Xenopus tropicalis: one gene and its partner. The main gene of each other region encodes a partner of the protein of the gene in region 2 in a complex. Links are inferred from orthologs where the notes say so. Each region holds a gene or a part of one and is shown on either strand. Other genes may lie near its edges.

Region 1 (4,863 bases), on a different chromosome or scaffold from region 2:
CCTGATCTACACTGACTTTTAAATTACATCAAGAAAGAAAGACAAAAAGCACCAACGTACCAGATGCTAAATTGTGCTGTGATTCTTTATCAGCTAAACCAGCTTATCAGATCCTTAAGGTGGCCATACACCAGCAGATCCGCTCGCTTGGCGATGTCGCCAAGCGAGCGGATCTTCCCCCGATATCCCCACCTACGGGTGGGCGATATCGGGGAGCATTTAGGTAAAAAAAAAATAATCCGATCGTTTGGCCCTGGGGCCAAACGATCGGATTATGTGGGCGGCAATGGGGCAGTCGGATCGGGGACCGCATCAACGAGCCGATGCGGTCCCCGATCCGACCGGATTTTCTAACCTGGCCGATCGAGATCTGGCCAATTTCAGGCCAGATATCGGTCGGCCAGGCCGCTCTGCCCTGCCCATACACGGGCCGATTAGCTGCCGAATCGGTCCAAGGGACCGATATCGGCAGCTATAGTCGGCCCGTGTATGGCCACCTTTACCCTATAAAAGGTGACATGTTCTTGCACACCAAGCAATTTGATTATGTGTGTAGGAAGTAGTCACATAAAGCAATTTCTTTGGGCCAACCGAGCCAGCTAACACATTAAAATAAGTCCATATCTCTCTCCAAGGAGGTACAAATAAACCACTTCACTAGACTCAGATGTTGGGGTTGCAAATGTAAATGATTTCTTACTTTTAAACTACGGTAGCTGCAATAGGTCTGAATGGAATTGGTGACAAAAAGGCTACAACCCACATATTTATAAATAACTACACTGCAGACATTAAATGCAAACTTTTCCTACAAGACAGAACAATTCTTTTCACTTTATCCACCCAGAAAAATACTGATGATAGGATTTGTACTTCATCAACACAGATTGCACAAACACCTAATACGTCTACATTTCAGCGCCTGTTATTTATTAGATGTAGTGCAAAGTAATGTTAATATCTGCCATATCACCCTTACGCAAACTGTCTTTATATTTCTTTTAATGTCATTGCTGTGGGCCTGAAAAAAAAAAAAAATAAATGAATGGAACTAAAATCAAATACATAAAGTGTCTGGAGTCTAGGGCATTCCAAGGGCGAATCAGAATGTTCCTTAGTAAATGTTAAAAATAATATACAAATGAGCATAGAACGGCACCAGGTTTAAATATGTAATGCTTCCTTATAGGTAGAAAGCAATAGATATTGAGTCAAGAGCAAGGCCGCTAGTGTCATACCTGCTAAAACAACTTATTGAACTTTATGTATAAGCGCTACAGAGCTGCTCAGAGTCCAGTAACCTAGAAGCATGCAAAACAAAACAAAAAAAGAAACATTCCAGTAGGGCTGGGCGATATACCGTTTAATACCGAATACCGGTGTTTTTTTTAAAAACTATAATAATTTTTCAGATACCACAATACCGGGGTGTCAGGGTACTCACCCGTGCTGCCCGGTCTTGCGTGCGTCCCGTTGTCCGCGGGACGTTGCGCACGCGCGTCCAGGTGCGCGTGTGTCAAAGCGCACATACATGTCAAAGCGTGCACGTCCGCGACTCACTGACGGCGCCGGTTCTGCGCATGCGTGGGGGTATTTAAAGCTATCAAACGCCTCCTCCTGTGCTATGTGGGAAACTAAGCCTGCCTGATTTACCTTACGACTTTCTGTTGCCGATCCTTCGCTTGCCTGACTCTGATTTTCAATACTGCAGTAATTATTCTCTAATTTATTAGGAAATGGGGTTAACACCTAATCATGCATGGAAAAAAAAAATACTGTCAAATACTGTGACACTGATATCATTTTCAAAAATACTGTGATATAAATTTTTGGTCATACCGCCCAGCTCTACATTCCAGCACATTTAAATATGAATGCACACAGCATGCCCTGGACAAATGACACCCACCGCCATTACTGGGGAGTTCAAAGAGGATTTCCTCCCAAAAACTTTTTTGCATAATGAATGATATTGTTCTAAGCAACTCTACAATACAAAGCAATTAAAAACATTCAGGGTTTTTGTCAATGTAATTGCAGCTAAAAAGTTACATCTCTGCATTCTGACTCTTGAAACAACAGGCCAGGTCTCCAGGCCTACAAGCCGGCAGGGTTTCTGCTACATTGTTACAGGAGTCAGAATCGAGCAGGAAGCACAAACCGCAAGGCAGATAAAGCTTCCAGTAGCAATTCCACTCACAATAGGATTAACCAGTGAAACTTTTTAATTACCGAACATGGGAAAGTTGCTTATATTCACATTCCTCTCCATTGTGCAAAAGCAAAACAGTGGTTTGGTGGGGATCCCCTTGTGGGGATGTATGTATGTATAAAAAGATACATACATACAAGGCCTGTAAGGAGGTTCCCCAGTGGTGGTTCAGACAAGGCTAACTGGGAGGTACTGATCCACACATGTAATAATGAGAAGGCATAAGATAAGGGTTGTGGCTGAGCAGCAGCTGGGGCTGCTTATCAAACTTTAGCTGTCACTCAGGAATTAGAAATGAAATGATTAGGTTTCCCAAGCCCCCCCTTACCTCCATTAGACCCCCAGAGGTGTCCAGATCGTACACGATGGTTTTGGTCTCCATGTTGATAGGGGACTGGCGGGAGCCCCGAGTGGCGAAGCCAGATGCTTATTGATCAGAGACAGAGATGGAAGTAGCAGAGCCGGGGAGCAGAGGCCAAAGCAGGAGTGAGACAAGGCCTGTGCTGGCGGCGGGGCCCGGGGAGAAGCCGTGGAGCCCAAAGCAGGGGTGGGACAGGCCGAGTAACGGTGCTATTAATCCAGGGAGAGAGGCAGGAGAATGCTGCGGGCGGGAGGGCCGCTCCTGCACCCTCAGGGGCTCCTCGTTGGAAGGCAATGGCGAGAAATAAAAAGAAGCGGTCAATCCCTGCTCCCGGGGATGTGGCGAGGCCTACGAAGGGCCTAGCCGACCTGCCGCCGGTCTCTCATCTCCAGGGTACAGTGGGTAAAAGGAAGCGAGAAAGCTCCGGCCATGGCGGCCCAATTCGTAATGGGGAAAAAAGCGCTCCAACCCAGCTGTGAAGGAAGAGGCGGGAGGTCGGTATGTCGCTATGGAGGTAGGGCTCCCTTCCGTAGCTGCTTACGTGCGTCTTCCCCCTCCCCCAGCGGCGGCCGCGCACTTGGCGCAAAGTGACTGCGCGGGAGACAGCAGTCTGCGCATGCGCTAATCGGGTGGCGGGGCCAGCCACTCGCTAGGCTGTGATGGAGGGGGCGGGGTCAGCACTCGCTAGGTTGTGAGGGAGGGGGGACGGGCTAGCCAGTCACTAGACTGTGAGGGAGGAGGGACGGTGCCGTCACAATGTATGCGCAGCGCGTTTTCGTTCCACGGAGGAAAACAATGGACTGTTTTGGTGCGCTTCTGAGCATGAGCTCTGTCGCTCATTCTGGTGCCTAAAGCAACATGGCGTACGCGAGCACACGGGCGCCATATTGGAGGTGGCAGAGAAAGATTTCGTAAAATAAAAATAAAATGTTTGGCCGTCACACATCTTTTTACATAAACATGTTACGTGCGTTATTCTTGTTTAGTTTGTTTATTTCTGCTGTTTAAACAGAGTTTTCTTTGTATGCTGTCACAACCATGACAGCCGGCACATCCATTCTCTTTGTTAGCTGCGCGCCCAAAATTGTCTTGAATGAAACGAGCAGGAGGATTCCTTCGGCGCTTAATATGCGTCAGAGCAGTCCGGCGACACAATCTAGAGCATGGCTGCTGCTGCTGCTGCTACATTACACTAGAGTGGAGTGTCGAACCACCGCTACAACATGATTCTTTACGTTATCGGCAGCCACTATTTCATTTCCGTCCAACCCTTGCTTATGTCTTACGAATGAAAAAAAATCTCGCGTTTGTGGCATGTTTATGTCCTCTCAATAAAGTTGGTTGAAAAAAAAGACATTGTTCGCGCAAATCATTGAGTTGTGCGCTCCGGAAGTCTGCGGTGGCACTTCCGGTACAGAATTTATGTGGGAGAGGAAGAGTTTGTGTAACTGTGTAGAGCAGATATTGATACAGGAAATGTAAAAACGTGTTTTTCGACTATTGTTCGAATGTGATGGCATGGTGGTAGTTGTAGTTCGTTCCTTTTACGTCGTAATAAAAAAATCTGAGTAACTGCTAAAATCCCGAAAACAGGTACAATATTGCACACGTATATTACATAATATGAATCGTGAGTGAAAAGCATCATGGGTGGCTATAACACAAACATCAGAATGACAGACAATTTTACTAAAAATCCTGTATCATCGCTGGGCGTTGAGTAGCAGGCATGCCTGTTGCTATAGGATCTCTGAATAGCAAATCCAGCATCTAGAGCAGGGCTTGTGTGTAAGGTTCTACAGTGTTAGCCCCCCCCCCCCATTAATTAATTTTTTTAATAAGGTTTTATTTTCTTATGGTTTTGGGAAAAAAAATTACCAGCTCAGGACACCAACATCTTACCCCATTTCAGACATATGTTGCATAGACTTGTGTATGTGCAGTAGGTCAAAATGCATATTTCATGGTGTCAGTGCTAGGGATGACTGGGAAAGGTAAGAAAATAGTACTGTTTTCTTACCTTTCCCCTTTCCCTAAAAGGATCAATGGCCCAGGGGATAAAAAACAAAGCAATTGGATTCAGTGTGGGTGCCTAACATACTGGCACCCCCAAGTGAATCCAGTTTTCCTTGTTATTTAAGGATCCAATCTTTGGTGAGGGAGGTTTAGGGTAGGCATTAATAATTTTGCAGCATTTAATACCTCTTGTATTGGTTATTGATTGCTTTATATGTTACTCTGTATGTCCAATGTATGAAATCCCTGCTTTATAAATGAATGTTAATAATAA
Region 2 (4,972 bases):
CACTGAGTGTCACATTTAGAGAGAGACTTGCTTAGCATGTTTTTAAAAGGGGCAGAACACTCCCTTTTTTCAATAAATAGGACTTGTGCTAAACATGCTTTTTGTGACTAATCTATTCCTTGAGATAAACTTGGCAAACTGAAGCTACTCCATATTTGGTCCCTGCAAGTTAAATAATTAGATTACAGGAAATCTTACAAATATTTTGCCTGCATAATGGACTTTGGCTCATTTGTGCACTGGTATTCAAATTATCTAACATGCAACTAACTAAACATGAGGTAGCTTTGGTTTCCCTGTTTAGCTAACAAAAATAATGTAAAGCATAGTTTTTTTTTTTAGATTTCAACAACAGTATATTCAGTAAGTATACTCAGCACAAGTCCTATTTGTTGCACTTATGTTGACAAGTGGGTATATTGTTCTTTAAAGAGGAGAATATCAAGTGTTTAGAATGAATGAACGCATGACTTTGGGGTAAAAGAGACACCTAAGGCTAATGCTACATGGGCAGATTCTTGGCATGCAGATAAACGCACCTACGCCCAAAAAAAGCTTTTGAATGTGCCTACACCAGGAGCCATTGCACCAGCCCAGGTACAGGCACACAGCAGAATTTGGCGCAAAACTGCACAAGGGGGCATTATTGCACTGAACTCCAACATAATGGCTCTGGGTGAAGGAACAACCAAAAGCTTTTTTGGAGTGTAGGGGTGGATTCTCAGGCCGAGAAACCACCCTGTGTGGCACTAGCCTAAAAGAAGGACGCACAATATCATGTCTTGAGGTATCAATAAGGTAACAATGCACACACATCTATGATCAATAGGAACAAACTGGTTGCTTTCTATACTTACATGCACTGGGAGTTTTTCTTGAGGTTTGCTCCAGTTTGAATTTGGCTTGCAATTACCACCACCTCCACCACTCGCCATTTTTTTTTTTTTTTTTTTTTAATTTGGTACAGTAGTGAAATGGCTTATTCAGAAGAAAGTCTAATAAAAGGCTTAAGCACTTGGAGTTGGGGAAGCATGATCCAGCACTTGCTTCAGAATTCCCTGTGGACACCAGGAACAGCTGCAAATATTTCCTAAAAAGAGAAAATAGAAATGTAATTCATCTTGCACAATTAAAAAATACTTTTTCATGTTTTAAAATGATCATTTTCATTGATAATTTTGCCCAGGATTTCATAGTTTAAAACAAAATAATTAGTTAATAGAGATACAGACATTTACAAACAAATTTATAGAAGAGCCAAGAGCAAGTTAACACCTGTTCCATCAAATCAATACTTCTACAAGCTTGAAACACAATGGGCCTTATTTATGGATGATGGACAAAATAGGCACTTTGCATTTGAGGGCTAAGGGTAATGTCTCATGGGGAGATTAGTCTCCCACGATAAATTTCTGCTACAGCAGGCGACTTCTCTCTCCTTTCCACCGGCAACAAAGTAATTTGCCTGTGGAAAAGCGTAGGTGCCTCTTCATTTTCTGATGTTGCATGAAGTTGCCTGCATTAGCCTTAGTATGTTGCTATTCTCAAAGATTTTATCTTATCTGTTTTTTTTTTTTTTTTTTTTATGGGCGATGGTGATGGCAGATTGTATCAGTGCCTTTAAGTACAATGGTCTTCGTTTGGGTGCTTAGGGTGAAGACACAGGGAGCTACTTTTAGCAGCTACTTTTTCATGGCTACTAAACACCAGAAGATACCCTGCCATAGACAATGCTGAGAAGTGCCTAAAGGTGCCCATACACTATAAGATCCGCTCGCTTGGCGATGTCGCCAAGCGAGCGGATCTTCACCCGATATCCCCACCTACGGGTGGGCGATATCGGGTAGCAAGAAACTTAAAAAAAAAATACATTTGTGGTTATGGGGCAGTCGGTTCGGGGACCGCATCAACGAGCCGATGCGGTCCCGGATCCGACTGGATTTTCTAACCTGCCCGATCGAGATCTGGCCAATTTCAGGCCAGATATCGGTCGGGCAGGCTGCTCTGTTCTGCCCATACACGGGCCGATTAGCTGCCGAATCGGTCCAAGGGACCGATATCGGCAGCTATAGTCGGCCCGTGTATGGGGACCTTAAAACACATGTAGATACAATTATCAGTAAATGGTCAGCATTGTCTACTTTAGTAGCCACGACAAGTAGCTGCTACTAGTAGCTCTGTGTCTCTTCACCCTTAAACTTGATGGTATAGCCTATATTTCAATAGTTTCAAGCATCATCACTGCGCCCTCCCTCCTCCCTCCCCCCCCCCCCATGGCAACTGAATAGTCTGCTCAGGTATTTTGGGCTCAAGGCAATCATCCTATAGCCCAGAAGCTGTATTTAAACAACAAATAGGACCTCTGACAGCCTTTGGCTTATGGTGGGATCATGCTTTTTCTAGTTTAAAAAACAACACCTATATATACACACAAAACATTTTCCAAAGGTTTAAATACCTAACCAAGCAGATTTCTTTGCATCGTCAAACAACCCCTTTTTTTTATCTGAATTGCTTCTAAGGGACTCACATCCCTCTAGCAATTAACAAAAACACATCTCTGCCTCAGTTATTCTAGTTTCACCCCATGGGCACCAGAAAGAGCATCTTCTTCTTGCCCGAGGCATATGAAACTGCCAGTAGACCAAGTAATGAGCCATTTTATCAGGGGTGGCCGTAACACTGTCATTTTTTTTTTTTTAACAACCTAAGGAAAGCAGATACAGACTACATTGGAATACCCCCCTCCCCCTAACATGCACATTGTGTACCCATAATAAGGTATGCTGATGAACAAGATAAGCAGCACAAGCCACTATGTATGTGATGGGGGCTACACACAAAAATGATGTTGCAATGAGGGAGACAATAAAGATATATAATGCTACAGGAAAAGGAATGATCGAGTTATGATGTAGTCAAATCCCTTTAGCACTTTACAACAACGGGTATGATAGAAGAGCGCATTAGAAGTGACAGGAGCAGATTAGAACCTGGATATTAATTAGAATTGGGTCACGAAGTGAATGGCAATAGACGCGACGCTGGAGCGGGATGTTAGACGAGCTGACTGATAATACACAGCACACACAGAGAGACAGGAGAAAAGTACGTGTAATTTTGTATTTCTGCCGACTGGCCTGGTTTATCATCGCGCCCCTTTCTCTATTTCAACCCCGAACGAGTAAATCATTCGGCTTCAACGCAGTCTTCAACACCGTGCGGATCCAGCCCACCCTCTGCACTGCAATCAAAGCTGAAAAGGATGCTGAGACATTTGAATTATTTACCAAGATTGAGCAATGGAAGCAACGTCCGGTGATACATGAAGGAAGGTTTCCCATGATCCGTACCTTGCGTGCGCGTTCCAGTGCGCGCCCACATATTCCGGGCGGCGGGGACGCACTCGGCGCAACCATCGCTCTTAACCATATTCTAACGCTGTGAGAGTGAAGGGCCTGCTGTGATGTCAAGATCACGTGATTTGGCGACAAGGGGGGGGAACTCGGCTAGGGTACTGGGTCAAAAAAGGGCGGGGTTAATTCCTCTGGAAAGGAAGTAGGAAATTATGCACGCAAGCGGGACGCTCAAATTAATGAATGAAGTTTTCAGCTCCCTCTAAAGGCATTTATAAACTGCAAAAGATCGGTCCACTTGCGTATTACACATATCCAACTATACTTAGTGCGGAAAGCATTCCAGCCAATCAGTGAATAGATTTCTTCCCGGCTGACTGCGGGCAATTCAATTAAAGCAAGCATATGTTGCTAAGGGTCAGTGCCCAGCAGGTGTAGATTTGCCCAGTGTTGCTTTATGTCACTCAGTTTTATTTATACTGTCAATGAGCAAAGTAGTATGTGAGCAGTAACCTATAGCCAAATACAGCAGGCTTTACAAAGCTTTTAACAGCTAGGTGTGAACCCTAAAGTATAATTATTTGGGTAAAAATAGATTGGGGAAAGAGGTCCAAAATCTGTTAACGTCCAGGAAAGTTGGATGGGGTTGACTTGACAGCTCTGTATCATTGATTGCTATGGTACATTGCTGTAGTGTGAATATGACAATAACTTAGAATCCTAATTGGAGCTGTATTCAGCTTGTTTTCGTTTGCTAAGCACTGGAAACAGTTATAATGTTTAGGGAAGCTTGTAATTGTATGTCAAACAACCAGCCTCAACCTGTGGTATTTGTGCTTAGTAATAGCTCTATAATCATGGCTTAAATAATACAGCTGTAGAAGCAGGCATAGATTTGTGGAAAGGCCTGGGCCTAGGGTGGCACACTATGCTTCCACGTCTGCACTGGGTGCCCAGTGCTGCCAGTAGGAGCTAGCGACTGAGAGCAGGATTGGGAGTGGATAGGTTCAAATGAGCATGCACATGTCTGTGGCCTGTATGTGTGCGTGGGCTTGTTTCAGTGGGCTTTGGCAGCTGGCTTAAGGGTATTCAAAAATCCAGTCCCATGTAAAAAAAATCCATAGATTTGGTTTGTAAAAATAGGTTTAGAGTCCCAGGCTCTCTCATCCTCGACCTCCCCCTCTCCTCAATTGGCATATGCACAAAAGTCTACAGTTCAACGAGCCGATGCGGGGAGCTACCTTCTGAGTATCTCAACACGCCTCTTGGCAGCAGCGCCCCTAGTCCAAGACTTTTATTATGGACTTACCCAGATCTGATATAACCAATATTTTTATGATAGTCAACAGATGTTCGAAATGGTTCATTTTGTTCCCTTCAAGAAGCTTTTTTTTTGCTGCTTCTTTCTTAGCCTAATCTGACCAAGCACTTAGTATCCTGAATTCTTCCCAGCCTATTGGCAGATTTTTGCTATTATATTAAGATGTGCAATAAATTAATCTATTTATTTCATACACACTTCCGGGGGCACTGGTGTTTTATCCTTATTGATGTTATATATGCACTCATGACACACATGCTCGGTTTTTCTAAAACACACACATCTTAGTGATCTG

Evidence for each region. Proteins that work in one complex are often made in the same cells at the same time.
Region 1: the proteins of sin3b (region 2) and phf12 are in contact, whole or in part, in a cryo-EM structure (PDB 8BPA), measured with the Homo sapiens proteins. The link is inferred for Xenopus tropicalis from reciprocal best matches to the Homo sapiens genes SIN3B and PHF12. Residues at the interface, in NP_056075.1 of Homo sapiens: Glu307, Phe311, Leu318, Glu322, Val323, Tyr324, Glu325, Asn326, Leu328, Arg329, Cys330, Ile331, Leu333, Phe334, Asn335, Glu343, Leu347, Pro350, Phe351, Lys354, Phe365, Lys395, Arg396, Glu490, Glu493, Leu494, Val497, Tyr545, Arg546, Ile547; in NP_001028733.1 of Homo sapiens: Leu20, Met21, Gln23, Ile24, Gln25, Leu27, Leu28, Pro30, Pro31, Lys32, Thr33, Asn264, Leu266, Val267, Leu269, Val271, Val273, Phe275, Thr276, Asn278, Arg279, Ser280, Arg282, Cys292, Pro293, Leu294, Pro316, Asn317, His318, Ile319.

What each region holds. Positions count from the first base shown.
Region 1 is NC_030678.2:33,929,766-33,934,628, reverse strand, and holds the start of phf12 (PHD finger protein 12), read right to left. Parts: upstream 3,122-4,863; 5' UTR 2,595-3,121; coding exon 2,541-2,594; intron 1-2,540.
Region 2 is NC_030677.2:111,954,569-111,959,540, reverse strand, and holds the start of sin3b (paired amphipathic helix protein Sin3b), read right to left. Parts: upstream 3,364-4,972; 5' UTR 3,291-3,363; intron 3,278-3,290; exon of another isoform or gene 3,141-3,277; intron 1,091-3,140; 5' UTR 936-1,090; coding exon 858-935; intron 1-857.